Mus musculus: one gene and its partners. The protein of the gene in region 1 binds, or shares a complex with, the protein of each later gene. Links are inferred from orthologs where the notes say so. Each region holds a gene or a part of one and is shown in the gene's direction. Other genes may lie near its edges. The genes, in order: Arid1a, Actl6b, Dpf1, Smarce1, Smarcd3, Smarcb1 and Phf10.

Evidence for each region.
Region 2: Arid1a (region 1) and Actl6b share a complex: the UniProt entries of both Homo sapiens proteins name them as parts of the neuron-specific chromatin remodeling complex. The link is inferred for Mus musculus from reciprocal best matches to the Homo sapiens genes ARID1A and ACTL6B.
Region 3: Arid1a (region 1) and Dpf1 share a complex: the UniProt entries of both Homo sapiens proteins name them as parts of the neuron-specific chromatin remodeling complex. The link is inferred for Mus musculus from reciprocal best matches to the Homo sapiens genes ARID1A and DPF1.
Region 4: Arid1a (region 1) and Smarce1 share a complex: the UniProt entries of both Homo sapiens proteins name them as parts of the neuron-specific chromatin remodeling complex. The link is inferred for Mus musculus from reciprocal best matches to the Homo sapiens genes ARID1A and SMARCE1.
Region 5: Arid1a (region 1) and Smarcd3 share a complex: the UniProt entries of both Homo sapiens proteins name them as parts of the neuron-specific chromatin remodeling complex. The link is inferred for Mus musculus from reciprocal best matches to the Homo sapiens genes ARID1A and SMARCD3.
Region 6: Arid1a (region 1) and Smarcb1 share a complex: the UniProt entries of both Homo sapiens proteins name them as parts of the neuron-specific chromatin remodeling complex. The link is inferred for Mus musculus from reciprocal best matches to the Homo sapiens genes ARID1A and SMARCB1.
Region 7: Arid1a (region 1) and Phf10 share a complex: the UniProt entries of both Homo sapiens proteins name them as parts of the neural progenitors-specific chromatin remodeling complex. The link is inferred for Mus musculus from reciprocal best matches to the Homo sapiens genes ARID1A and PHF10.

What each region holds. Positions count from the first base shown.
Region 1 is NC_000070.6:133,751,186-133,755,358, reverse strand, and holds the start of Arid1a (AT-rich interactive domain-containing protein 1A), read left to right. Parts: upstream 1-1,373; 5' UTR 1,374-1,747; coding exon 1,748-2,890; intron 2,891-4,173. UniProt on the Homo sapiens protein: Involved in transcriptional activation and repression of select genes by chromatin remodeling (alteration of DNA-nucleosome topology).
Region 2 is NC_000071.6:137,552,232-137,556,345, forward strand, and holds the start of Actl6b (actin-like protein 6B), read left to right. Parts: upstream 1-1,314; 5' UTR 1,315-1,403; coding exon 1,404-1,428; exon of another isoform or gene 1,429-1,552; intron 1,553-1,832; coding exon 1,833-1,909; intron 1,910-2,281; coding exon 2,282-2,447; intron 2,448-2,764; coding exon 2,765-2,865; intron 2,866-4,114. UniProt on the Homo sapiens protein: Involved in transcriptional activation and repression of select genes by chromatin remodeling (alteration of DNA-nucleosome topology).
Region 3 is NC_000073.6:29,314,501-29,318,000, forward strand, and holds the end of Dpf1 (zinc finger protein neuro-d4), read left to right. Parts: intron 1-1,123; coding exon 1,124-1,236; intron 1,237-1,713; coding exon of another isoform or gene 1,714-1,743; coding exon 1,744-1,825; intron 1,826-1,980; coding exon 1,981-2,051; 3' UTR 2,052-3,086; downstream 3,087-3,500. UniProt on the Homo sapiens protein: May have an important role in developing neurons by participating in regulation of cell survival, possibly as a neurospecific transcription factor. Belongs to the neuron-specific chromatin remodeling complex (nBAF complex).
Region 4 is NC_000077.6:99,217,518-99,221,017, reverse strand, and holds part of Smarce1 (SWI/SNF-related matrix-associated actin-dependent regulator of chromatin subfamily E member 1), read left to right. Parts: intron 1-282; coding exon 283-363; intron 364-1,271; coding exon 1,272-1,403; intron 1,404-1,626; coding exon 1,627-1,798; intron 1,799-3,500. UniProt on the Homo sapiens protein: Involved in transcriptional activation and repression of select genes by chromatin remodeling (alteration of DNA-nucleosome topology).
Region 5 is NC_000071.6:24,599,203-24,603,425, reverse strand, and holds the start of Smarcd3 (SWI/SNF-related matrix-associated actin-dependent regulator of chromatin subfamily D member 3), read left to right. Parts: upstream 1-1,423; 5' UTR 1,424-1,567; coding exon 1,568-1,645; intron 1,646-1,661; exon of another isoform or gene 1,662-2,290; intron 2,291-4,223. UniProt on the Homo sapiens protein: Involved in transcriptional activation and repression of select genes by chromatin remodeling (alteration of DNA-nucleosome topology).
Region 6 is NC_000076.6:75,915,115-75,918,614, reverse strand, and holds part of Smarcb1 (SWI/SNF-related matrix-associated actin-dependent regulator of chromatin subfamily B member 1), read left to right. Parts: intron 1-1,703; coding exon 1,704-1,842; intron 1,843-3,421; coding exon 3,422-3,500.
Region 7 is NC_000083.6:14,951,261-14,954,760, reverse strand, and holds part of Phf10 (PHD finger protein 10), read left to right. Parts: intron 1-636; coding exon 637-746; intron 747-1,987; coding exon 1,988-2,141; intron 2,142-3,500. UniProt on the Homo sapiens protein: Involved in transcription activity regulation by chromatin remodeling. Belongs to the neural progenitors-specific chromatin remodeling complex (npBAF complex) and is required for the proliferation of neural progenitors.

The sequences.
Region 1 (4,173 bases):
GGTTTTTGAACAGAGGTTCTTTCAGTCCCTGGAGCCTCTTCTGTGGGCTGTTTACAGTCTTCCAAGGTACTTGCCTTTGAAGATTGGGCTACTGGCCATTGTGAGCTAGGTTCCCTTAGGAAGTGCTAATGGAGCTTGGTTTGCCTGGAGGACTGTCTTAAGCCCCCAACGCATCAGTAGCCACCATTTTAAGAGAAGTGGTGGGATGACCACGTTTGATTTTCAAACCTCCTGACACTGATCTGATCCGGTGGTTGGATTTGTTCACAACGTAAGTGCCTTTCTTTTCTCTTTTCCTCCTTTTCTCTGGCTAAGTAGACAAGATGCGGCTTCGGCCACTCACTCCACTTTTTATAGCCACACACTTCTGCCCTCTGACTTTAAGTGACCTGGGCAGTCCCCTCCCTTCAGTCTGTTGGTAAAATGGGGGGGGGGGAGATAATCCAGACCTCATGCCCCCAGGGCCTTGTCAGAGAGGGCTAATGAGGGCAGGGCACGGGAGAACCGATAGTTTGAACAATGGTCAGTCCTCCTTTGGGGCTAGCCAAAGGGGGGGAAAAGCAGGGCTCGCTCAGCTGGGTCTCTAGAGCAGGTCTGCAAAAGGCTTTGAAGAAGAAAAGTGCTGCGGAGGTGCTAAGTCGCAGCCAAGAGCCCAGGCCCGGTGCCAGGGGGTCAGGTCCCGGCCGCGGCGGCCGCGGTTTCGGGCTCAGGCCAATTTTGCAGGCGCGGGTAAAGTTCACGCGGCCCGCTCCCTTTGGAGCGGCCGGGAGGGGACAGGCCAGGCTGGGAACGCGGCGAGCGAGGCGGCGCAGGCTCCGGAGGCGCGGGCTCCGGGCCGGGTTTTCCCCGAAGCCTTCGGCGGCGGCGCAGCCGAGCGAAAGAGGCTGAGGGCTTGCCGCCGCCGCCGCGGCTCCTTCTCTCCCCTCCTCCTTTGTGAGGGGAAGGGAGCGAGTCCATTCCACGGCCTGCGCCCGCTCCGCGCTCCAGTCCTGGTTTTTCAGGCGGCCGCGACGGCGCTGGGTAAAATGGCAGTGCTGAGCCTCGTGTCGGAGTGAGGGGGACTCGGAGGAGAGTGGGGCGCTCTAGCTGCTCAGTCCCGCCGCCCGCCCGCCCGCTCTCTCGTTCGCTCTCTCGCCCGCCCGCCCGCCGCCAAGCAGCAGCCTCGGCCCGAGCCGCGGCCGGGGAGGCGAGGCAGGGCGCCCGCCAGAGCAGCGCTCCTACTCTGCCTCCCGGCGCCCCGTCCGCCGCCGCGCGCCCTCCAGCCCGCCCGCCCGCCCGCCCGTCCCGGGTCCCCCCTCCCCCCCCGCTCCCTCCCTCCTTTCCCGCCCCCTCCCCCTCGCCTCCCTCCCTCCCTCCCTCCTCCTTTCTCCGGCAGCAGAAAGCGGAGAGTCACAGCGGGGCCAGGCCCTGGGGAGCGGAGCCTCCACCGCCCCCCTCATTCCCAGGCAAGGGCTTGGGGGGAATGAGCCGGGAGAGCCGGGTCCCGAGCCGCCAGAGCCCGGAGCAGCTGAGCCGCCGGCGCCTCGGCTGCCGCCGCCGCCTCCTCCTCCTCCTCCGCCGCCAGCCCGGAGCCTGAGCCGGCGGGGCGGGGGGGAGAGGAGCGAGCGCAGCGCAGCAGCGGAGCCCCGCGAGGCCCGCCCGGGCGGGTGGGGAGGGCAGCCCGGGGGACTCGGCCCCGGGGCGGGGTGGGAGGGGGGAGAAGACGAAGACAGGGCCGGGTCTCTCCGCGGACGAGACAGCGGGGATCATGGCCGCGCAGGTCGCCCCCGCCGCCGCCAGCAGCCTGGGCAACCCGCCGCCGCCGCCCTCGGAGCTGAAGAAAGCCGAGCAGCAACAGCGGGAGGAGGCGGGGGGCGAGGCGGCGGCGGCAGCGGCCGAGCGCGGGGAAATGAAGGCAGCCGCCGGGCAGGAGAGCGAGGGCCCCGCCGTGGGGCCGCCGCAGCCGCTGGGAAAGGAGCTGCAGGACGGGGCCGAGAGCAATGGGGGTGGCGGCGGCGGCGGAGCCGGCAGCGGCGGCGGGCCCGGCGCGGAGCCGGACCTGAAGAACTCGAACGGGAACGCGGGCCCTAGGCCCGCCCTGAACAATAACCTCCCGGAGCCGCCCGGCGGCGGCGGCGGCGGCGGCAGCAGCAGCAGCGACGGGGTGGGGGCGCCTCCTCACTCGGCCGCGGCCGCCCTGCCGCCCCCAGCCTACGGCTTCGGGCAAGCCTACGGCCGGAGCCCGTCTGCCGTCGCCGCCGCGGCGGCCGCCGTCTTCCACCAACAACATGGCGGACAACAAAGCCCTGGCCTGGCAGCGCTGCAGAGCGGCGGCGGCGGGGGCTTGGAGCCCTACGCCGGGCCCCAGCAGAACTCGCACGACCACGGCTTCCCCAACCACCAGTACAACTCCTACTACCCCAACCGCAGCGCCTACCCCCCGCCTCCCCAGGCCTACGCGCTGAGCTCCCCGAGAGGTGGCACTCCGGGCTCCGGCGCGGCGGCGGCCGCCGGCTCCAAGCCGCCTCCCTCCTCCAGCGCCTCTGCCTCCTCGTCGTCTTCGTCCTTCGCACAGCAGCGCTTCGGGGCCATGGGGGGAGGCGGCCCCTCAGCGGCCGGCGGGGGAACTCCCCAGCCCACCGCCACCCCCACCCTCAACCAACTGCTCACGTCGCCCAGCTCGGCCCGTGGCTACCAGGGCTACCCCGGGGGCGACTACGGCGGCGGGCCCCAGGACGGGGGCGCGGGCAAAGGCCCGGCGGACATGGCCTCGCAGTGCTGGGGGGCTGCGGCGGCGGCGGCGGCGGCGGCAGCGGCCGTCTCGGGAGGGGCCCAACAAAGGAGCCACCACGCGCCCATGAGCCCCGGGAGCAGCGGCGGCGGGGGGCAGCCGCTCGCCCGGACCCCTCAGGTACACAGCCGAGCGGGGAGGGGGCTGGGGCCAGCGGGGCCGGGGGGTGGGCTGGGTGGCGGCTGCGGGGAAGCAGGCCCCGGCCGTGGGCTCCCCTCGGGCTTGGGCCCCCACTGCCGGGGAGCTGCCATTGTCTGGCTCTTCTCTCTTAAAATGGCTGCCTGTCTGCCTTCCTCTCCTTCCCTCGATCAGCCTTTGTGTGGGGCTTTTCCAGGGGTGTCTGTCCGGTTTCTCCTCCTCCGCTGGTCCTTTCGAACTCTGGGGGTCTCCAGGGGGGTGCAGAGCAAAGTGTGCCTGGAAGGGCCAGGCCCGGTCGCGGGGGGGGGTGCTGGGGGTTCAGGTTAGGGGTGTAGGCAGTGTCATGAATCCGGGAGAAAGAAGCAACGTTTTCTTGCTCACCTGCCGCTCCTCTGATCCCCCTTGCCTTCCTCTAGGCCGTTCCCCAATATACGCTTTTAAAGAGTGGCCCCTAGGGCTCGGGGGACCTCGGGGGAGAGCTGGGGCCTGCTTGGGGGCAGCTCGAGGCCGACTGTGGTTCGCTCTGGGCCGCCGGGGCCACCTCTTGCCTCAGTCTCCGGCGGCCCAGTGGCCTGGGCTTCTCTCTGAAGTGCTGGTAAACACAGAGTGATTGGAGTAGTAAGTGCAGATTGCTTTGGTTTGGGATTTGAATTATGGAGGTAAAATCCTTCTGTCAAAGCCAGGAGACAGTTGGTCTTAGGTTGACATCCTATCTGTGATCTGATTGGCTCCCCATCTTCTGCTCTTGGCCATTTATAATTGCCTCTGATGTAATGGTACAACAATCCTGATGAGCTCATAAACTTTTACACTCTGCTTTTCTGCCAGTGATAACCCAAACCTTCGCTGCCACTATCCGCCTTTTATTCCAGAGCTGAAATTGGCTGTGACCTTGAGGAGGGAGGTTTAAGCAGCAATACTGTATCAGCAGGAGCAGAGTCCCAGACAGGCTGCCCTTGTTACATTGTGCCTGAAACAAAAGAGGAGGCGATGGCATTTTGCTTGCACCTTGGATTTATTTTGCTTGTTATGTTTTATGCAGTCTGAAATAGATTCTGTGTTGTTGGAACAGTAGCTGAGTTTTTCTCTACAATGGGTTTGCTGTTTGTTTTCGTTTTTGTTACTTTCCTGATGGTATAAATGAGTTCTTTGATGGCGCTGAAGATACATTTGTCTTGAGTAGTTTTTGACACTGTTCACTTATACTGTTGAGTTACAGAACTGAAATTATTTTACTGGCTATTTTTTTATGAAAAGCAAATGTA
Region 2 (4,114 bases), on another chromosome or scaffold:
ACTGGCTGCTCTCTTCCGGAGGCTTTGGGTTCGATTCCCAAAACACATGGTGGCTCACAACCATCTGTAATGAGATTCGATGCCCTCTTCTGGTGTGTCCGAAGACAAACAGCGACAGTGTGCTCGTGTACATAAAATAAATAAATCTTTAAGTATATATACATATATATTATAATCTCAAAATTTAGAAATAGTAAAAAAGAAGGCTTGCTAGGTTAGCCAGGTGACTATATGTTAGCCATGAGCACTCACATGTTTATTATATGTTATGTACAAAGTCAAGAAGGAAAAATGGCCATCAGAAAGATGAAGGAAAGGGGCTGGAGATGCGGTTCATGTCTAACATGCTGAAGGCCTGGGTTCCATCCCCTGACCCTCATAAACTGGGGTGTTGGCATAGGCTTTGTAATCTTAGTACCCAGGAAGTGAAGGTAAAGAGACCACAAGTTCAAAGCCATCCTCATATATATATTAGTTTGAGTTTGGGCTACATGAGACCCTGTCTTAAATAAAAGAAAAGCCAGTTGTGGGCTGGGCAGTGGTGGCGCACGCTTTTAGTCCCAGCACTTGGGAGGCAGAGGCAGGCAGATTTCTAAGTTCGAGGCCAGCCTAGTCTACAGAGTGATTACCAGGACAGCCAGGACTACACAGAGAAACCCTGTCTCGAAAAAAAGAAAGAAAAGAAAGAAAGAAAGAAGGAAGGAAGGAAGGAAGGAAGGAAGGAAGGAAGGAAGGAAGGAAGGAAGGAAGAAAAAGGAAAATCTAGTCGTGTGCTGTACTGGAGGCAGCGGCATGGAAATCTCTCTGAGTTTGAGACCATTCTGGTCAAATAAATAAATAAATAAATAAGCCCAGAGACAAAGGTAAAAAGACACAGGAAGAGATGGAGAGGCATACTCCTCTGGTCCCTCAGTCTTCTCATCTCCTCATTTCTGTGATTGCATTTAGACTGAATGCGGTAGACTCTGGCTCAGGAGTCTGAGGATGGACATCTCTGGTTGAGAGGAGACCCCTCCCTCACCTACGTAAAAATATGAATAAATAAAAAAGACCAAGAAACGAGGGTCCCATGTCATCAGAAGGTCCCATTCCATCCGTTGCCCTGTGGAGTCCTCGTCTCCATCTCTTTCCTCTTTTCTCTGTGTCCATAGTCTTTGCAATTGGACCCTCGCCTCCTCCCAACCTCGGAATGAAGAAGCGGCTGTACCTTTAAAGCAGCGGCCCCCAGCCGGGTTATTGTCTCGCTTCATAACCAATCGGCCGCGCCGTTGGGGGCAGGGGATCCAGTGTTCTGATTGGCCGCCGCTGCGCCCCGCCCCGCCCGGGATCCCGGGAGCTGTCCGGCCGCCTCGGTGCTGATCCCGCCGCCGCCCACGGGCCGCGAGCAGCGTAGAGAGGGCACTATGAGCGGGGGCGTCTACGGCGGAGGTGAGCCGGCCTGGGGCACTGGGCTCTCGGCCTGGTCTACAGCCCTGCATCCCGAACCCGCGCGTCCCAAGCCCTGAGCATCCCTGGGCCTGTCACCTCCGTACTGCATCAGGTCCAGTCTGAGGTTTGGGTCTCCCACTACTTCTGCTTTCCATTCTCTTGGGGTTCCCAAGTGTACACTGCCTCTCGGGCCCTGGACCTTTCTTTTCCCTGCCAGGCCGCTAGGCAAGAGGGAACTCTGGTGGCTTTGACCCTCTACTTCCAGAACGCCCTGAAGTCCAGGTGGATCTCCCACCCACTCCCCGCTGAAGTTTAAACTGTGGCTATAACCCCAGAATCCTCTCCAAGCTATATAGGGAGACAGTTTGGGAGAGGTCTCCTCACAAGCCTGTCTCCTTGCACAGATGAGGTGGGGGCGCTCGTCTTTGACATTGGCTCTTTCTCAGTCCGAGCTGGGTACGCTGGGGAGGACTGCCCCAAGGTGAGCCTTCCAGTCCCCTCCCCAAATCCCAGGGGCTCGGACACCCTCTGCCAGGCGGGTCGGCCTATGAACAAATGCGCACAGGTCAATTCAAGTAGCTCACCTGAGTGGAGACAGGGGAAGGACCCCGGGGGTGGCTGAGGGCCTTGAGTGCAATTGAACCAGGGACTAGCAGGGATGATCCAGCTGGGCAGGGTAGTGCGTTCCTTTAAATCCCATCACTCTGGACGCAGAGACATGCAGATCTCTGTAAGTTCAAGTCCAGCCTGGTCTACAGCGACAGTTCCAGGCCAGCCAGAGGTTCACAGTGAGAGCCTGTCTCCAAAAAAGAAGGGAATAATCTAGCTCCCTGCTCATGTTCCTTGTAACCAGGCTGACTTCCCCACCACTGTGGGGCTGCTGGCCGCAGAAGAGGGGGGCGGGCTGGAGCTGGAGGGGGAGAAAGAGAAGAAAGGGAAGATTTTCCACATCGACACCAATGCCCTGCACGTGCCTCGGGATGGAGCGGAGGTCATGTCGCCCCTCAAGAATGGCATGAGTAAGGGACCCTCACCCACTACTTTCTGAAACAGACTGGGAGCCCCACGCCCAGTGTGTGGCTGCCGATCTCCATACCCACAGAACCTTGCTTGCTGCTGCCCAAGTCCCAAGGGTCTCACTGTTCCCTACAACTGCTGGGATTTCAGACCAGTTCCCCTAGAATTCTGGAACTTAAGGGGGGTGGTGCTTGTAAGCAGAAGTTGGACTCACCTACCTTCAGACTTGGCCTCCCTCCTTCCTTTACTTCCTGTCTCTGATCCTTGCCTTCCTTCCCACCTTCCCATCTATCTCTCCACGCTGGTCCTCTGTCCCTAGTTGAGGACTGGGAGTGCTTCCGAGCCATCCTGGATCATACCTACAGCAAACATGTCAAGTCCGAGCCAAACCTGCACCCAGTACTCATGTCGGAGGCTCCGGTGAGTGCCTCATCCAGACCCACGTCCAGCCCTGAGTCCCTGGAGACACATCCTTTCTGCCATCACCTCTAATGTGGAGTCGCTACTATCTGTCACTTCCCTTCCCTTTCCAGATTCGTCCTGCTCACACTGTCATCTTCTGTCACCTCCCTTCCTCCCTGGCTTACCCTCCATCCCGCCTTCTCTCTTCCAGCTCCATCCACTCCATTGCCCTGCGTTGTTCACACACACATTTTTTGGTCCATGTTATACATATATATGAATATTACCAATGTAGCTAAGTTGTGAGAGATCTTGCCTGGCATGCAAAAGGTTCTGGGTTCAAGCCTCGCTACTGAAGGGGGGAGGGGAAGTTACAGTTGTAATCCAAGCACTCAGGAGGTAGAAGCAGAAGGATCAGCAATTTAAATCAATATTCAACTACATAGTGAGTTCCAGGACAGTTGTGACTACATAGAGGCAGCCACCAGTTAACAATAGGTCCTCTGCTAGGGGTAGGATTTAAATGGATCATTTCATGCTAGGATTTCAGTTTGGATATATATATATATATATATTGTTTGCCCGTTTTATTGTTTGTTTGCTTATTTATTTGTGTGTGCACACACACATATGGCAAGGGACAAATTGCAGGTTCTCTCCTTTCTCCTGTGTATTCTGAGATTAAACTCAGGTGGTCTTGCTTGGTGGCAAATGTCTTCACCTACTGAGTTCTCTTGCCAGCTCCATTTGTCTGTTTCTGAGACAAGCTCTCCCTGTGTAGCTCATGCTGGCCTCAGACTTGAGATCCTCCTGAGGGCTGTGCTGACTGGTGAACACCACCAGATCTCACCCTATCCATATTTCTAAACATCACATATGTGCAATGCCCATGGAGACCAGGAGAGGACATCAGAGCCCATGGAACTAGAGCTAGAGGCCACCCACTGTGGGTGCTGGGAACTGAACTCGGGTCTTGCCAAGACCAAAGAGTACTCTTAACCACTGAGCCATCTCTCCAGCCCCTTTCTGTGTTTGTTTGTTTTGCTTTGTTGTTTGATTTTTTTTTTTTTTTGAGACAGTGTTTCTTTGGGTAGCCATGGCTGTCCTGAGATTAGCTTTGTAGACCAGGCTGGCCTTGAACTTACAGACATCTGTCTGTCTCTGCCTCCTGAGTGCTTGGATCAAAGGCATGTGTTACCATTGCCTAGCTCTCTGCATTTGAAAAACTGACATATTATTTTTGGTATGTGTGTGTGTTGTTTGTGTG
Region 3 (3,500 bases), on another chromosome or scaffold:
CGCCTGTCCTTGGGACTGCCTCTGCTGCCGGGGTCTGTGGGAAACTGAGCGGACTTGCTGGCACAGGAGGAACCAACAGTACGAGGTGCCATGGCTTTGTGCTCTCCCCGGGTGGAGAGTAGAGAGAAGTTAGGGAGGCATTGTGGGTAGGGGACAGAGCTATGGGAGCAATGAATTGCACCGCCTAGGTAGTGGGAATAGCAGGATTGTGTTCTGTAGAACTGTGGTTAATATAATGTGGTTTTCCATGGAGGCCTCCTGGGTAGTAAGACTGGTCGCATCAGCATCGTGGGTAATGGATTGTGGTCGTTACAGTGTGGGTTGTCTTTGCGATTTAATACAGTAGAATGTGGTCATTATGTCTTGGTGGACTGTGGCTGTGAGGAGCTGTGGCTACTGGGCGCTGTGGGCTGACAGGCTGTGTGGGCTGTTGGTGTCTGGCTCGGGGGGATGTAGTTGTAACTGTTGGGTGTTGTGGGCAGTGGCTGTTGAATGATATGGGTAGTGGTTGTCAGGCTCTGTGGGAAGTGCTGTGGGCAGTGGCTACAGGTGTCTCCGTACTGTGGGAGAATGACTGAGCAAATTCCCACGGCAAGCATTGTCAGTGGAAGTTTGTTTGCTGGTGCCTTGTGTGGGCTGGCCTTTGGTCTCAGCGAAGCAAGGTGTGGGGACCCTGTTATGGAGCTTGGTTGCCATAGTGTCCTGGCTGGCAGAAGTTGGCTGCCACGTTGCTGTGGTTAGCAGGAGGGCTGGCAGCCCCTCTGTGGGTATTGGAATGTGGCTGCCCTAGTGCGATACCTAACAGACTGTGGTGGCCACAGTGTTGTGGGTGGTAGAACGTGGTTGCCACAGCACTGTGGGTAATGGAATGCGGTTGCCATGGTGTTCTGGGGAGCAAAGTGTGGTTGTCATGGTGGCTGAGTAGGAGACTGTGGTGGCCAACACACAGCTGCCTGCCACGCAGTCCAGCTTCCGGATGTCTGTCTCAGGGGTAGGGTCCCACCACAAAGCTCGCCTTGACCTCAGAGTCAGGGCTTGGGATAGAGCCATTACCTCCCCAGGGGTCAGTAGCCACCAGGGATATGACAACTCACTAACTGCATCCCTGCCCCTCGACCCCCAGGACATCCCTCGTGTTTACAGTTCACGGTGAACATGACCGCGGCTGTGCGGACCTACCGCTGGCAGTGCATTGAATGCAAGTCCTGCAGCCTGTGTGGCACCTCGGAGAATGACGTGAGTGCCCACCCCATCTCCCGGGCACATCCCCAGCTTCCCTTCCGGCCTGCCTCTGCCACTCTGCCCATGAGGCCTAAAAGTCTTCCTTGTTCATAACTCCCAGTGACCAGCATTAGCGTGCAGTACGGTTGCCACCGTCCTTATTCTTTTATATTCTTTCCCATGACACCTCCCCACCTCCCTTGAGGCTGGTGCTCCTGTTCCCACTACACATAGAAGATGCTGAGCTCAGGGAGGGAGAAGGAGGCCTGAGGTCACCAAGGTCAGAAGGTTGTAGGGCCAGGATTTGAACCTCCGGAGTTGGTATCTGGCCCGCTGAGCATCACTCAGTACAAAATCCGACTCCGTGAGTCGTCAGACAAGGCCAGTGGACTTCCACAGTACAGGCTGCAGAGCCAGTTTTCTCAGAAGGGCCCCTGGGACCCAGCCCCTGCCCCAGCCCCCCACCCCGGTTTCTGGTGCCCGTGCCCCCAGGGTGCCAGCTGGGCGGGTCTCACCCCCCAGGACCAGCTGCTGTTCTGTGATGACTGCGATCGAGGTTACCACATGTACTGCCTGAGCCCTCCCATGGCGGAGCCCCCGGAAGGTGAGGGAAGGGGTGGGCGAGACATGGGGTGGGTGGGTTGGAACGTTGTCTTCCTGGTGGCAGAGACCATGTGCTCCGGGTGGGGACAGGTGGGGGGCGCTCTTCATCTCTCCATCGGGCTCCAGTCTAATTTTGTCTCTTGGCTTCCCCCGCAGGGAGCTGGAGCTGCCACCTCTGTCTCCGGCACTTGAAGGAAAAGGCCTCTGCTTACATCACCCTGACCTAGGCCCGGCTCTGCTTCCCCAGGATCTTTGGGTGGTGCTATCTCCTGCCTCTTGGAGCTCCTGGCGCTCCCCACCCGGTGTCCCCAGTGGAAGGGATGGGGTGAAGCCCAGAGTGGGGGGGGGCAAGGTGTTCTCCCTCTGCAAGTGGAATGTTACCCTGTGGGTGGCTGGGTCCAACAGGGTCCCTCCTGTCCCCCCTCTTCATCCCTTGACAAATGGGCACCAGGCTTCTGCTCTCCTCAAAGCCATACCCCCGCCTTTGGGCGGGCATAGAGGGGTAGTGGATGCTAGCCAGCAGCACGGAAAGAGCCTTTTTCTAAAGAAAAAGACAAAACGTGGAAAAAAAAGGGAAAAAAATTAATATATACAAAGAGTCCTATAAAGCCTGGCTGGGTGGAGAGGCACTGTTGAGTGTCTGCTGGGGACCTGACTTTACCAGTTTCCTGAATGGCGCCTCCCCACCTCATTTCTGGAGTTGCAATGGTCTCAACTCCCATCTGAGGTGGGTACCACCCCTTCCTCAGTACCCACCGTGGATACTGCATGTGAACTATGGTTTTGAACTCTTCCTCCTCCTCCTTGAGAGCCCCGCCCTGCGCCCGCGTGGTGCCTGCCTGCCAGGCCTGGGGCGTGCAGCCGGGGAGGCGGGTGGGGTGAGGCAGGCAGGCAGCCAGCCCCCTGCAGTGAGAAGCACAGATTGCAATGGACTCAGTTTTTTTTTTTTTTTTTTTTTTTTTTCCTTTCTCCCTTCCCACCCCTTTCCTTCCCTACCCAGCCAGGCTGGGCTGCCTCCTGCCCCCCTCGCTAGCCATTTGGGGGTGGCAAGGGGGTGTGGTTGTTTCTCGTGGTTGTGTGTGTTTGTTGTTCGGGTTTTTAAAAGGGGAAATTGAGACTGCAAGTGGGGGAGGTGGAGGGTCTGGGGGAGTCTGCCCCCAATCCAGGAGTACCCCCCTTGCCACCAAGTCTCCTTTATTGCCTGCCTCTGCTGTGAATTAACTTGTTCTGTGTATTAAACTGGGCCTGACCCCTCTGCCCACAACTGCTTCCATCTCTAACCTCTTTTGGGGTGTCACCAACATGGGAAGCCAAGGGGCCTCACTGGGGTAGAAGCCACTGTGGCTGGCCCCCACCTCTTTGCCCCTACACCATGCCTCCCTGTGGCTTTGTCCCAGCTCCTCCCTGTCTTGCTGGAGAGAAGAGGGGGATGGGGTGGAGGGGCTCCCACCCAGCCAGCTGTGGTTGCCATAGCAACGGGCTGCTGCAGCTGCAGCGGGAGGCAGCTCAAAGAGGGAGGTGGGAGTGAAGACTGGGGGGAAGGGAGGGCTGGAGAGACCAGAAGGCAGCCCCCTCCCTGGCTAGGGTTTGGGAGATAGCACCTCAGCATGGCTGGCTGTCACTTGGGATTCCCTGACCTGGGTGTGGTTAAAAGTGGAGGACAGGAGGACATCTCA
Region 4 (3,500 bases), on another chromosome or scaffold:
TATGGATTATTATATAATATTTTATTCTTGCAGGCAGCTTGTCAAAACAGTGGCAATTAACTGCTAAGTAAAACGTTAAATATCATGTGTTTAAAGTCATTTTCTTCTGATAAAAACATTTCTGAATTTGCAGTGATGTCTATTTTCTTTGGAGGAAATATAAGGATCTTGTATCCATGGACGAGTAGAAGAAAGGCGCATTAGAATTTTTAAGGGACTTTCTTTTCAGGTGGCAGTGAGCTCCTTGCAGTTGAATAATGAGTATATTTCACTCTTTTACAGGCGTCCTCTGGCATTACGATTCCAAAGCCTCCAAAGCCACCAGATAAGCCGCTGATGCCCTACATGAGGTACAGCAGAAAGGTGGGTGCCGGAGAGCTCCGCCTATGGCCTTACGTGCAATTTCAGGCTGGCTTGCCGTCTTCTTTATACATATTTGAGGGAAGAATTTTAAAACTTGTACTTTTTTAAGTAGTTCATTCTCATTCAGAAATCCAGAACTCAGGAGCATGGTTAAATTAACTGCTAAAATCTTTTTAAACAGATTAGTCTGCAGCCATGAAAGTGATATCTTTTTGAGAATATTGGAAAACATGAGAAGAATGTTAAATAGAAAGTAGAGTATAAGACTGTATATATTAATATCTTACAGTGGCGCACGCCTTTAATCCCAGCACTTGGGAGGCAGAGGCAGGCAGATTTCTGAGTTTGAGGCCTCTACAGAGTGAGTCCCAGGACAGCCAGGGTTACACAGAGAAACCCTGTCTCGAAAAAACCAAAAAATAATAACAATAATAATAATAAGTCTGGGAGTAGTTCAGTGGTAGAACACTTGCCTGACTACAGTAAGCGCTTAGGTTCAATTCCAAGAGTACCAAGTGAATTCATAAGTACAGTAAAAATATTGATCATAGTTAATACATATGTGTTTGGTAGTATGACAAATTAACTACCTTGAATTGACTTGAACAGTTAGAGACTTAGAGTTCATTTAATTCTCTACGAGTGTGAGCAGTGATTAGTGGTGCCCTTAGCTTAATCAGTTTCAAATATTTATGAGCAACTGACAGTGGTGAGTAAGATCCAGTGGGATAAGGAGGGCATGGGGTAAGCCAGCTGTTGGCAGTTTTGAAACAGGCTGATTGCTACAAAGGAGTTTGATACTGTCTTCTTTGCTTTTTCTTGTATTTAAACGTTTCCATATTAGAGTGTTTTTAAATGACTATATACTTAGGCACTAATATTGAATTTTCAACTATTGACTTTTTAAGGTCTGGGACCAAGTAAAGGCTTCCAACCCTGACCTAAAGTTGTGGGAGATTGGCAAGATTATTGGTGGCATGTGGCGAGATCTCACTGATGAAGAGAAGCAAGAATATTTAAACGAATACGAAGCAGAAAAGGTAGGAGGACTGCCTTGGCTTATTATTTATAAAAGAAACCAAGCGTGACCAGATGGCTGAGCCACACTGCAGTTTTGTCCACCAAGCTTCACTCATCTGAGTGGCACATTCTTTGTTCTGTCCCGACATCCTGTTTTACCTCTCCCTCTGATGTTCAGAGGGACAGTGCAGGTGGCCTGTGGAGTAGAATGGACATTATAAAACCAGCCCCTTTGACTTTCAGATAGAGTACAATGAGTCTATGAAGGCCTACCATAATTCCCCTGCGTACCTTGCCTATATTAATGCAAAAAGTCGTGCGGAAGCTGCATTAGAGGAAGAAAGTCGACAGAGACAGTCTCGCATGGAGAAAGGAGAACCTTACATGAGCATTCAGCCTGCTGAGGATCCAGACGGTAAGGTGGAAAACGGGGCTTTGTATATGTATTCTCTCTGAATTAGAAAAGAAATTTAGTTCAAGGCATTTTTATTCTTTTAAATGGAAAAGCATAATTTTAAGTCTTTTTGTTGTAGTAAGATTTTAAGTAGTAAGATTTTTGCGTGTGACTTTCTCATGGAAAAAATACTCCTTACAGGGTGGAAAATTATCAAAGAAAAAAAGCTGTATTTATTACTTATCAAAGTCTTTATACTCAGAATAGAGGATTTGTTTGATTTTCGAGACAGGGCCTCACTGTGTTGCCCAGACTTACCTGATTCTCCAGTCCCAGCTTCCAAATTCTGGGATAAATTTTTGCTGACACACCCTATCTTTGGTTTTTCGAGACAGGGTTTCTCTGTGTAGCCCTGGCTGTCCTGGAACTCACTTTGTAGACCAGGCTGTCCTCGAACTCAGAAATCCGCCTGCCTCTGCCTCCTGAGTGCTGGGATTAAAGGCGTGCGCCACCACACCCAGGTGACACACCCTGTCTTAATCAGGGTTTCTATTCCTGCACAAAACAAGCAAGCTGGAGAGGAAAGGGTTTATTCAGCTTCCACATTGCTGTTCCTCACCAAAGGAAGTCAGGACAGGAACTCACACAGGACAGGGACTTGGAGGCGGGAGCTGATGCAGAGGCCACAGAGGAATGAGTGCTGCTTACTGGCTTGCTCTGTAGATTGACCTTGAAGGCAGAGATCCCCATGGCTCTGTCTCCTGTGATGCTGGGATTAAAGGTGTGTACCAACATGCTTGGATCTAAATTTAGCTGGATGGGATTTTACCCCCAAATCCCTTAATGTCTTATTTCCTAGAACATACAATTCAGCTCCATTTGACTTCCTGGTGTCCCTTTAATACCTGAACCATATATTTTATGTTTTTCCTTTCTTTTTTTTTTTTTTTAGGTATTTTCTTCATTTACATTTCAAATGCTATCCCAAAAGTCCCCCAGACCCTCCTCATGTTTTTCCTTTCTAAGCTTGCTGCCCTTATTCAAAATGCTCTTCATGAGACTTAACCAGGGAACAAAGTCTCTACTGGGCTTTTTGAGACTTCCTTTGTCAGTGCAGTTAATATAAGTTCTCTTTACCTTAGCCTCAGGTAGACTCTTCAGGCAAGGGCAAAAAAGCAGCCACATTCTTTACCAAAATACCACAAAAACAGTCTCTAGGCCACATACTGAAATTCTTCTCCACTGAACCCCTTGGGCCAGGTCCGCATAGTTCAGATCACTCTCAGCAACAGTCTTCCATATTCCTACTAGGATGGCTCATTAAGCCCCACTTAAAGCATTCCAATGCTTTCCAAATCAAAAGGCTATCTGGTGTGCAGCCCTGTGGAAGGGTTGTTCGACATACACCTGGGTCATACACCACAGTTCTAGGAGGACATGAGAGACGGAAACGTGCAGAAAACCAAGACACAGAAGCCTTGTCTGGCCTTGTCTGTGAGGGCAGCATCCACTGGCTTCTTAGAGGAGTGTCAGAAGGTCCACAAGACTAACCTTGACTCACACCTCCATAGTCAGGGCTTTCTAAATGATTCTTCAGCAGCAAGCAAGCCTCTGTATGTAGCAGGGTTTCTTTCCTAAAGCACGGTCCCTGCATCTGTCTGAAGTGCGAGAAGGATTAGGTCTGGATGGAGAGATGGCTCAGCAGTTAAGAACACCAACTGGT
Region 5 (4,223 bases), on another chromosome or scaffold:
GATACAGGCCAAATAGACTGGGAGAGCATTCCTCTGCTCCTTATCCTGACCCATGAAGACATTCTGAAGGGCCAAAGGTTAGGGTCCCTCGGTGCAATGGGTCTTGAGGGCTCAAATTGTATGTGTTCCCACAAGTTCCCTCAGGCATTGTCCCTCTCTCAGCGGCAGCCCCAGCTAGCCCATAAACCTGACCCTTGATTGTCCTGAAACCCGCGGACTCCTCCTTCAGAAGGTGGGGACAGGCGTGGCTTGTGGAATGGGCGGAGCTTGGGCTCAACCTAGGGATCTCAGGATTTGTCCCCTCCTTTCTGTTCTTCCTCCCCTCCAGGGATGGCCAGTTCTATCCACACTGTCCCATTTAGGGTTTCCTCGTCTTCCTACCCCACACTCCTGCTTTCTCTTCGGTTCTGGGGCGGACTTCACCAATCCCGAGCTCTCTGGGTCTCCGCGCCAAAGCCATCAAGCCCTGCTTGCCTCACCCTTTCCTCCTACCCACCCAAGTACCCACCCTGGATCCGCGCCATTCCTCACAATGTACTCCTCCTGTTCTCATGAGTCCAGTCCATGTCCCCTTTTCGGAAATATTTCCCCTATTGCCCTCACTTTCTCGCACAGAGACAAACAAAGACTCACAAGCCCAGAAATAGACTCCAACAGAGCTGAAAGACACAGGCCGTGTCCTGCCCCGCACGCACGCGCGCAGGCTCGGCGGCTCTTGTGAAGGGAAGCACACAGACTGGGCGTTTGTCAGTGCACGCACATAAACATCCACACCCACAGCCTCTGCGCCGTGCCACAAAAGGGTGCAGACACACGGTGTGCGAGACAAGGGCACACACATCTGCGGGCGCCCGGGAGCCCGCCTAGCCCGGCACACCCACCGCGCTGGCCCTGGGACAGGAGCAAGGCCTGCTTCGGGCTCGGGTTCCCCCCCAGATTCCTTCCAGCAAATGTTTCCCTACTTGGCCTGCCTGGTCCCAGGGGAAAGGGCCTCAGAAATGCTGCAGGAGCCACTTGGGGGAAAAAAGTTGGAACTGTCTGTTCCCTGCCTGGCCATGTCGGCGAATTCCCTAACCGAGAAACTATTTGTGGCGAGGGCAGAGTGGCTGGCGAGCCCCTTGTCACCTCCCGTGGTGTTCCCTCCCCGAGCCGCCACCGATGGGCCCCGGGCGGCCTGGGCGCAGCGCAGCTGCCCATCGCGCAGCCTCCGGGCAGATCGGCTCGTCTCGCCGCTTCTGTGCGCCGCTTGGACCACGCGGAGTGCACAGGAGGGCCGCTCCGTCCCCGGCGCGTCGCAGGCAGACCCCGGGCCGCCGGACTATTTCTGTCTTATCAGTGCAGGAATGCGGCAGCCGCGGCGGCGGCGGCGGCGGGCGGGCGGCGGCGGCGGCGTGGGCCGTGGGCCGTCAGGGCAGCCCTGAAGGGGCCCCCTCCCCACTCCGCTCGAGTAGAAGTGTGAGAGAGCCCAGCAGGACTCAGAGGGGAGAGTTGGAGGAAAAAAAAGGCAGAAAAGGGAAAGAAAGAGGAAGAGAGAGAGAGAGTGAGAGGAGCCGCTGAGCCCACCCCGATGGCCGCGGACGAAGTTGCCGGAGGGGCGCGCAAAGCCACGAAAAGCAAACTTTTTGAGTTTCTGGTCCATGGGGTGGTGAGTGGGGGAAAGTTAGCGGGGGAGGGTGAGCGAGCTGGCTCGGGCTGAATGGAGGGATGATCGGGAGGGGCCGCCGGCGCGCTCCGGCTCTCCCACCCCTTTGGTTGAGGGGCGCACGGTCACGGCCCAACCCTGGGACCTTGCGGGCGCCCTGGCATCCGAACACGTCGCCAAGCGGTCGGCTGGGGATGGGCGCGCGGCGGCCGGGAAGAGAGGCGTCGGCTTGGGTTCTTCTCAGGGGCAAGGGGTGGGATGTGGGCACCGTGCCTCCCCCAAGAGGGGGGTCCCCTCTGTAACTGACATGTCTCACATTCTTTTACTGGTGGGCTCAGGTGTTACCCCTGCCCTGGGGGTGGGGGTGGGGTGGTGACTCGAACACACAGCTAGGGCAGGGCTGCCTGTTGTCCCTGTTCATCCTTTGGGACAGGGTCACTCCGACTAGGTCTGAGCAGCTAGGAGCAGGTGACCTAAGAGCAAAAGCTCTCTGCTGAACAACCTCTGCATCCTAGCAGGAGGGCCTTGAGGACTTGGCCCTGCTGTCAGAGCTGAGAAGGGTCTACTTGTGAGACCTCAAGTTAAGCAGTCAGAAGATCTCCTTGGCAGGCTCAGCCACCAGAAGTTGATGACCTTAACACCTCAAAGGTGTGAAGGAGGGGCAGGAGTTGGGGACATGAGGCCTAGAAACCAAAGGGATAGTACTATACCGTTCTAACACACACACACACACACACTCACACACTCACGAAGACATGTGAGGAGTCTGAGGGTACCCAGGAACCTATTGAGGTGGAGAGCCTGCTGTGAGGAGCTCTAAGCCTGGGCATATGGAGGGAAGAGTCAGTCATATTTACTATGGCCAAATTTGGTTGTGACTCCAGGAAGCACCATTTCAGTGAGAGGCAAGGGCCCCCAGAATCTGACCCTTATGAGGCTGTTACTGATGGCAGGCTCCTGGGGGCCCCTAGAAGCCTTCTTCTCAGGGCCTCATTAGACCCAACAGTATCAGTGGCCTTGATGAATAGGAGAGTGGCTGATAGGGAAGAGGGCTTCTCTGTGGCAGCCTGTTCTCTAGCCATAGGGATCTCTGGGGTATAAATTCCAAGGCAGCCCTATGGGTTAGTGGAGTTACCAATCCTGACCTAGCTGCTTAAGAGTAGTTGCTTTAAAGACTACCATCCAGTGAAGAGGCTCTGCATATGGAATTGAATGTGGTCAACTTGGTAGTTCGGTTCTTGGATGATTAGAGTCCCCTCTATAGTGATGGAGAATGGCTAGGCTTGAGCTTCCACGCTGGTGACATTGGTGCTGTGAGTGACAGAGTCAGGTGGAATGGGGGAGGCAAGTTCAGGGACAGGCCTGTTTGACTATAGAAGAGATGGGCAGAGACAGCTGCTTGGCTCTGGGTGGAGACCTCAGAGGTAAGCAATGTAAGAGGAGAAAGGAAGCCCAGGGTTAGGGTTAGGGCTTCTTAATCCAGGGGGCAAGATGAGAAGGGTGTGTGTGTGCATGGCCTTCTGTAGCCCAGGCTGGCCTCAAATTCACTATATATCAGAGGGTGGTCTTGATTTTCTGCCTTCACCTCAAGATTAGGATTATAAGTATGTGCTATCATGCCAGGCGGTGGTGGCGCACGCCTTTAATCCCAGCACTCGGGAGGCAGAGGCAGGTGGATTTCTGAGTTCAAGGCCAGCCTGGTCTACAGAGTGAGTTCCAGGACAGCCAGGGCTACACAGAGAAACCCTGTCTCAAAAAAAAAAAAAAAAAAAAAAGTATGTGCTATCATGTGCAGTTTATTTGATGCTGGGGATCGAACCCAGAGCACCACATGTATTGCACAAGCCCTTAACCAAGCTACATCCCTAGCCTGAGATGGTAGTGTTTAAATAATAGGGGTTTCATTCCCCTCTCCCTAATACCCTTCCTGGTCTAGGTCCCCAAGCCTCAGCCCCCTTCCTGGGCTTGGACAAGTGAAATCTGAAACACTCCACTTGCATTCACATCTCATCTCTTTTGATTGACTGCCCAGAGCTGGTGGCCAGAGAAAATCAACCTGCCTCATTTCCCTCCAATTTCTACCCTTTCTGGGATATTGTGAGGAATAGGTTGTCTCTGATGTGGGCAGATGGGAGGGGGAAATGGATACTGCTACAGATGCTGCTTCCTTCACATCCCTGCACTGGCAGTCCACTTCTAGTCCCGTTCCCCACTTGCCACTCAAGAAAACCTGGCAGAGTTTGATGACACCAGACCCGCAGGTCCCCTTGCCCAGTCTCTTGTATCATCTTGGGAGAAATAAAATTAAAGAGGCAGGTTAAGTCAGTGGGTGTGGAGACCTGGAGTTAGCTGTACCAGTTATGTTTGAGATTGAGGTGCCAAAAGCAGGGGGCTCCGAAATGGAGATAGGGGCTCAAGTACAAAACACATCAGACCCAGAAGTGGGGTGTGGAAATGGAGAATGAGGGCAGGAGATCAGCCCCTCCCTCACCGCAGCGAAGCAGCGGGGAGCAGGGCCCGCCAGGTGCTGCCTTTGCCAGGAAGAGCAGGGTGACCTTGGTGAGGTCGCTGTTTTCTTTGA
Region 6 (3,500 bases), on another chromosome or scaffold:
TGGATGGCCCTCGGTCCCTTTGTCATAGAAAATGAATTCAGTATTCAGACAGATGGGCAGACACAGTAACAGTAGCAGCTGTGTCTGATGTCTGTGGAGCTGCTTGGGGAGGATGCTCTCAGTGGATATGACTGTGCCCCTGTCATCCTGTCATCTGCCACAGGAGAAATCAATGTCCAAGTCCAGAATCTTTATTTAGTATTCCAAAGAGGGCCAAGTGGCCCAGCCTGGTGTTAGGGTTTATGGTACAGGACCCTCGCTGTAGCCATGGGGGACTACTTTGCAGTGCATTCCTTTAGTCCTAGTACCCAGTAGGCCCACCTTTGTCAGTTCAAGGACAGCCTGGTCTATATAGTGAGTCCAGGCCAACCAGGACTATGTAGGAAAAAAATAGCTGATCGTATTGCTAACTTTTTTCTAAATTTGTTTGTTTGTTTTTTGTTTTTTGAGACAGGGTTTCTCTGTGTAGCCCTGGCTGTCCTGAAACTCACTCTCTGTAGACCAGGCTGGCCTCTAACTCAGAAATCCGCCTGCCTCTGCCTCCCAAGTGCTCGGATTAAAGGTGTGCGCCACCACTGCCTGGTGCTAACTTTTTTCTAAATATGAATGGAAACAGTACTTTTACCTTTGGGTGATAATGACCCACAAGCCAAACAGCAACAAGGAGTCTTCAGTGTTCTGTATAGACTGTTTGGCTCTTGGGCTTAACAGCTCTGGCTGTTGGTCATGGAAATCTTTTCTGGAAGGAAAGTGCAGAGACTACTTTCACTTAATAAATGTATGCTAGATACATAGATACGATTAAAAGAATAATAGAAATGATCCTTTCTAAAGCAGAATCCAGACTTGAGGGCTTGGTGTGGCTGTGCGTGCCTTTAATCCCAGTATTCTGTGAGCAGAGGCAGGTCCAGTCCATCTCTGATTCAAGGACAGCCTTGTCTACATAGTGAGTTCTTGGCCAGCTAGGGCTACATGGTGAGAATCTGTCTTAGGGGAAAAATGTCAGGGTTTTTAAGCACTTGACAGGTGAGTAACAAGGCCTAGATTCACTGTCAGAGTGAGCACCTCACACCCATCTATTGGTTGTCCTCACAGTGTGACTCTGAAAATAGCATTTCTGAATAGTCAGTGAGACCGTAGCATATCTTTAAAAAACCCACAGGACAGGCTTCTTATGAAGGCCATATTTACAGTATCACTACAAACAAACTGACGCTGTTACTTGGGGGAAGTCGTGATTTATAGGATAGGCTAGGGATTACTAATATAGTGCTTTTTTTAGACTCTAGAAAATTCTTTGGCATCTCTGGTTTGAGTTTTATTACTAAACAAAGCAACATAGGCAACGGGACAAATTATCTTGCATCTGCCTAAAATTAAAGACTTTTTGGTGTTTATTGGCTTGTAAAAATATCAAAGTCTGCTTCTTAAGATGAAAGAAGGTCACAGGAGTCTTACATTTCAGAACAGTGCCAACATCTCTAGTCAGGTCCGAATCACAAGCTTCTTACTGAGCTCTGGGATCCTCCCTTGGTTCTGAAGTCAGGAGACACAGATGCCAACCAGATGTGCACTGCTGGTGAACCCTTGATGTCAGCAGAATGTGCTTGCTGACAGCCGAAAGCCTGGCGCCTGGAGGCATTGTCTCAGTGTGGTGCTAGGTAGCCCGACCCTCATAATGAGCCTTCTTGCTTTACCCATAGGTGGGAAACTACCTGCGTATGTTCCGAGGTTCTCTGTACAAGAGATACCCCTCACTCTGGCGGCGACTAGCCACTGTGGAAGAAAGGAAGAAAATAGTGGCATCGTCACATGGTAAAAAAACAAAACCTAACACTAAGGGTGCGTCTTCACGAGGGTTTGTAAACCTGTTTCAAAACCACTCGCTTATGTCATGAAGATAAAACGTTTTCACTCCAGTGTCTTCATTGCAGCCTGACCTTAGTTCGGGAGGGAGCATCCTGGGGCGGGCCACCCTGCCAGAGCACACACACCTCAGGTGAGAGTGGCTCAGGAATAGAGTCTCCCGTACTCCACTGTTGTATGTTCCTGGCTGGGGCAGTGGGTGCGTGAGGGACTGGGGCCAGGGCAGTTGCAGGTGCTGTGAAGACATGTTGGTCTCAAAACGTTTTAGGAATGCTGAGATTTGCTTCATTTGCTGTGAGTGTGTTGCTGTAGTCATCCTTGTAGATGGTGGCACTCTCTTTCCTCTGGGCCTTTTACCACTTCCCTCCCTCAGCACATCCATCCTGTAAATACTTCATCTTGACAACCAGTGTGCTAAGCTCACATGCATGTACCCATTCCGTGTGGCAGGCCCTGTGCCTGGGGCTTGCCAGGTGAGCAGTCTGATGCTGGTGAAACTAGTGCGAGCTCTGGGCTGTGGCAACTCTGTGCAGCGTGACGCTGCTCTTCGTATATTTTGGCGCCTCCAGCATATGGGTTTGGGTATGGGTGCAGTATGACATCTGGCTGGTGGCAAAACTGCTTTCCACTCAGCAAAGACACCCTGTAGAGAGCTGCCCCAGGCCTGCATGCATGTGTGCATGCATGCATGCTTGCTCGCTAGCACTCTGTCGTCTGTCTTGTCTGTAGGTGCTAATGTAGTTTTGTCTATTATGGTAAACTGGGGGTTCTTTTAATGCAGGAGCCAGAGCTGCTTTTATTCACTACTAAAACATACCCACTGTTGCCTAAAACAGTTTTTCTTTGTATCCTTTGTGCCACAAGTGGAGGACAGTCACTAGTATGGTGACTGACTAGCTCTGCCTACCCTTCCTTGAGTTCCCATGAAGTCCTACTGGTCTTTCTGCTGTGTTCCTTCCTGCCCTGTAACCACGAGAGTCCTCCAGTGACGCTAAGCAGGTCCTGTCAATAACTCGCAGCTCTTGACAAAGGTGCTCTAGAAAAGCTGGGGCTCACGGCGTATGAAGTCTGTCTTATTTTCCAGACAGCACATCTGGACTGGCTCGGGGACGGTAACTTCTGCTTAAGTGAAACACTTCTTTCCAACTCTCTGGGCTCTTGTTTTAAAAGAAAAGTAGTCCTCTTTCATCCCGTCTCATACTTGCATTGTGTTTTAGATTGTGGTAGTGTCAGACCTCTTCCCACTGGGGTGTTACTCAGAAGCCTTCCTGGCAGCCACTAAGCTGCAGCTACTCCAAACATCTCTGCCTCTGAGCTAATGCTCGAAGGAGGCGAATTCCTCCAGATCCATCCCACCGGAGGCTTTCTCCACTAGAATGTCTAGGCAAAGCCTCAGGCCAGTTGCCCTTTTGGAAGACGCTAGCACTCAGCAGTAGTGAGTTTACACCTTGCTTTCCCAGCCTCCTGCATGTGAGGACCTCCTGTGCTGTATCCGTGGTTGGCAGCTTGTTCACACTGCTGCAGGATGACCGCAGTGGGGTCTCTCTGCTTACAGATCATGGATATACCACCCTGGCCACCAGCGTGACACTCCTGAAAGCCTCAGAGGTAGAAGAGATCCTGGATGGCAATGA
Region 7 (3,500 bases), on another chromosome or scaffold:
CTCTTTTGTTACTGCAGAATGGTCACTGTCTATTATTATTATTATTATTATTATTATTATTATTATTATTATTATTATTATTATGCTAGCTGTGTTTATTTTCTCATAGAAGTTAAGGTACCATTTTCCTGCCTCTCACCTTCCACCCTCCTTCCTTTTCTTCTTTCTGAAATCTCTCTGCTTTATGATTGAGTTTACCGAGCAAGGTGAACACTATGTATCTAACTCCCATGTCCCTAGAGGGTGGGTAAGAGCAGCACACTGAGCTTGTCTATTTGGTTTTGATGGAAGTCCTGTGAGGTTACACAAATGTCCCCTACATTTCATAGAAGGAGCCAGGTGAGCTACAAAGAAATTACACACTTCACAAAAGACCATGGTGAGCCAGAGACTTCACATTGCCTTCCTTCAGAGCCTGTGCACATGGTGAATAACAGGCACGGAAGTAAAGCACAGAACTCAAGCACACAGCTGGGAGGCACCACCTATCCCCTCGGTCACTGCTACTGTGTTAGTTACATTGCTAGCTTTTCTATAGTGTGGGGACATGGATGTCGTGTACACATGGGGATTCTTTTCTTGAAGCCTTGATTCCCAGGTTGGAATCAGTTTTCACATTTCTTGATCTTAACACAGGTTATCCAAGTGCCTCAAGGAAAGTACAAAGTGTTGCCGACAGACCGAACGAAGGTCAGTTCCTACCCAGTGGCTCTCATCCCGGGACAGTTCCAGGAGTATTATAAGAGGTAGTCAGTACTTTCATTATCATTGCTTTTTGGGCCTCCTAGAAATTTATGTTTATCAGTGACACCAAAAGATGTGTAGGATTTGTGTCTGCATTTTTCCTCTTGGGTTCTGTGTAAAGAGCATCATTCTGTTGGAAGTGAAGGCCTGCTGGTGAGGTCAGGAGTGCTGCCTCTGCCCGCCCTGTCTGCACGGGCCGGCCTCCAGTGCTTTCTGTGTGGCACATGGCCCCGGAGCTTGGTATCCTCGGGAAGCGCCTGTGAAATGAGGATCCTCTCCTCTCCTCACTTGAGTGGAGCTCACACATGCAGAGTGGAGAGTGACGTGACAGCAGTGGGAGGAGAGAGAAAAGAAGGGACAGATAAGTGCCATGGCGGCACACATGGCCACACCCCTGGAAGTGTACTTACTTCCTGTTTCCATCTTACATGGAACCAAAACCCTTTCAAACCAGTACAAATGGGTTGTTCTTGTTTCAGAATCTCTGCTTTGCTTCCAGCAGTAGACTTCATTCTGGAGACCAGTTCTCAGAGTAGGGGTTCTGCAGAAAACCCAATTTATAGCAAGGCAGAGCACTTGCTGTTTGATATTCTAATTTAAATTGTGTAAATTTTTAACTTCAAAAATTTTTTTCAGTCCAGAAATTTCTGAAAATCTGTTGGTATTCTTCCACCTTGTCTGTTCTGCTCTGGTGTTTTAGTGCTGAGGTAGCTCCTGAACAATAGCGCTTTGAGACCAGGAGGGCTTCGTGCAGCCGGACAGGACAGTACAAAGGGAGACTTAAATGTTGCAGTACATGCTGTACAGTGTCTTAAAGTAGTCGCTGTTAAAAACTGTTTGCTAATTTTTATCTAACTGTTGCACTTGATGACATTGTTCCGTCATTCTGTCAGTCTTGAGACATTGGCTCTCTGAGCCTGTTCTGTGAGTGGAAGGATGCGGTGCACAAGTCACCACGCCTCGGGTGTGTGGCTGAGCAGGAGCACGTCCTGGCTGCCTGGGTTCCACTCCTGTCTGCTGACACATCAGTTATCATTGTTTGCTTGCTTTGAGGGTAAAGGGAAAGAGTTGGGGAGAAAAATATTCTGATTGCGAAAAAGCATCATTTATCCCCACCTGATGACCAAAATGAAATTCTTCCTACCCATTTGTGTGAAGTATATGTGAGAGGCATAAAGCAAATTTAGTAGTTTTTACATATTTACTATTCAAGGAAGAATGAAAGCAGCCTTTCTAAACTTAGGTACTCACCAGATGAGCTTCGGTACTTGCCATTAAACACAGCCCTGTATGAGCCGCCCCTGGACCCAGAGCTCCCGGCACTAGATAGTGATGGAGACTCAGATGATGGCGAAGATGGCGGAGGGGATGAGAAGCGGAAGAATAAAGGCACTTCGGTAGGACTGTGCACCTGCAGGGGAGGACTCTTGGGTTATTTGCTGATTGCTTTCCTGGAACGTTAAATTGAACTCTATTACCAGACTGGTTGACTAGGACAGTCGCCTATATTTCTAGAAAATTTTCACAAGAATATTTAGTGTGTGTTGATATAAATAGGTTTTGCATTGCTTTTTTTTGGAGACAAATTTTATATTAAAAAACTATTTTGAGCAAGATAGGGAATTGTATTCAATATTAATATTCTTCTACCCAACATGCTGTTTATGCAGATTAAAATACTGAGCAAAATAGACTGATCTTTGCCACAGAGAAACGTCATTTTCTTGGCCGGGGCAGCACACATTACCCTGGGCTCCTTTGCTTAATCTGGGCTTCCTGTAGGAAAATGTTAGTTTACTAACGTGTAGGATATTTAGTTTTTTGGGGTGCCTTTTTTGAACAAAAAATTTAGTATATGTGCTGCTGAAGAGAGAACTCGTATCAAAAATTTAGCTGCTAAAAAGCAGGATGTTGGCTCTCAGAGCATGAAGGGCAGTAGCCCTGAGGTGGTTTATGGTTGTGACTTTTTGCAGAAATACACATTAAGCCACGGCTCTTATATATGTTAGAGTGTAGCCACCCAAATGTTTGTTTTCATTGAGTAGCATTCCCTTGTCTACAACAGCTTCTAACACATACTTAATCTTATGTGCTCCATGAAAGCAGGTTCTGCCCATGTTCACTTGGTGCTGCCTCTCCTGTCAGGTACCAGAGAGGAGCTAGCTATGGAAGTAAATAACGATGAACCCAACTTTATCACATTGCTCTGTGGAATATAAATTAATCGAATATTTGAGGAAAGCATTTTGACAGCATACCCAGAGTTTTTTCACAGATTTTGACCTGGCAGATTTGTTAACAAAGTTAATTCTAAGGACTTAATTAGATGTTAGCAAAATTTAAGTAGAAAAAAATGCTGATTTTAATGGTGCAGAATTTAGAAATAAATCTTTATCTACTGTGGTGATACAGTTACACCAAAGAATGTCGTGTAAAGACGATGAGGAAATGCATGGACTTTACCCACGTTTGCACACATGTGCCGTGGACATGGAGTGTGTGTGATTGTGTGCACATACTGATCATGTGTCTACTGATGCATACACAGTATGATAACATGTGTACACACATGCAGTGCAACCAGTCTTGCAAACTACACTGCCTGAATGAAACCACATTAGGAAGATATGGGGTATGTATGAGAGAGCCTGGGCCTCTGCAGGATAGAAACACACAGAGAAACCAGGAAGGAAGGAACATGCTCTTGTGCCCAGTCATTTCAGGATGTTTATCAGGTGGCTATGAATTTTTAAATT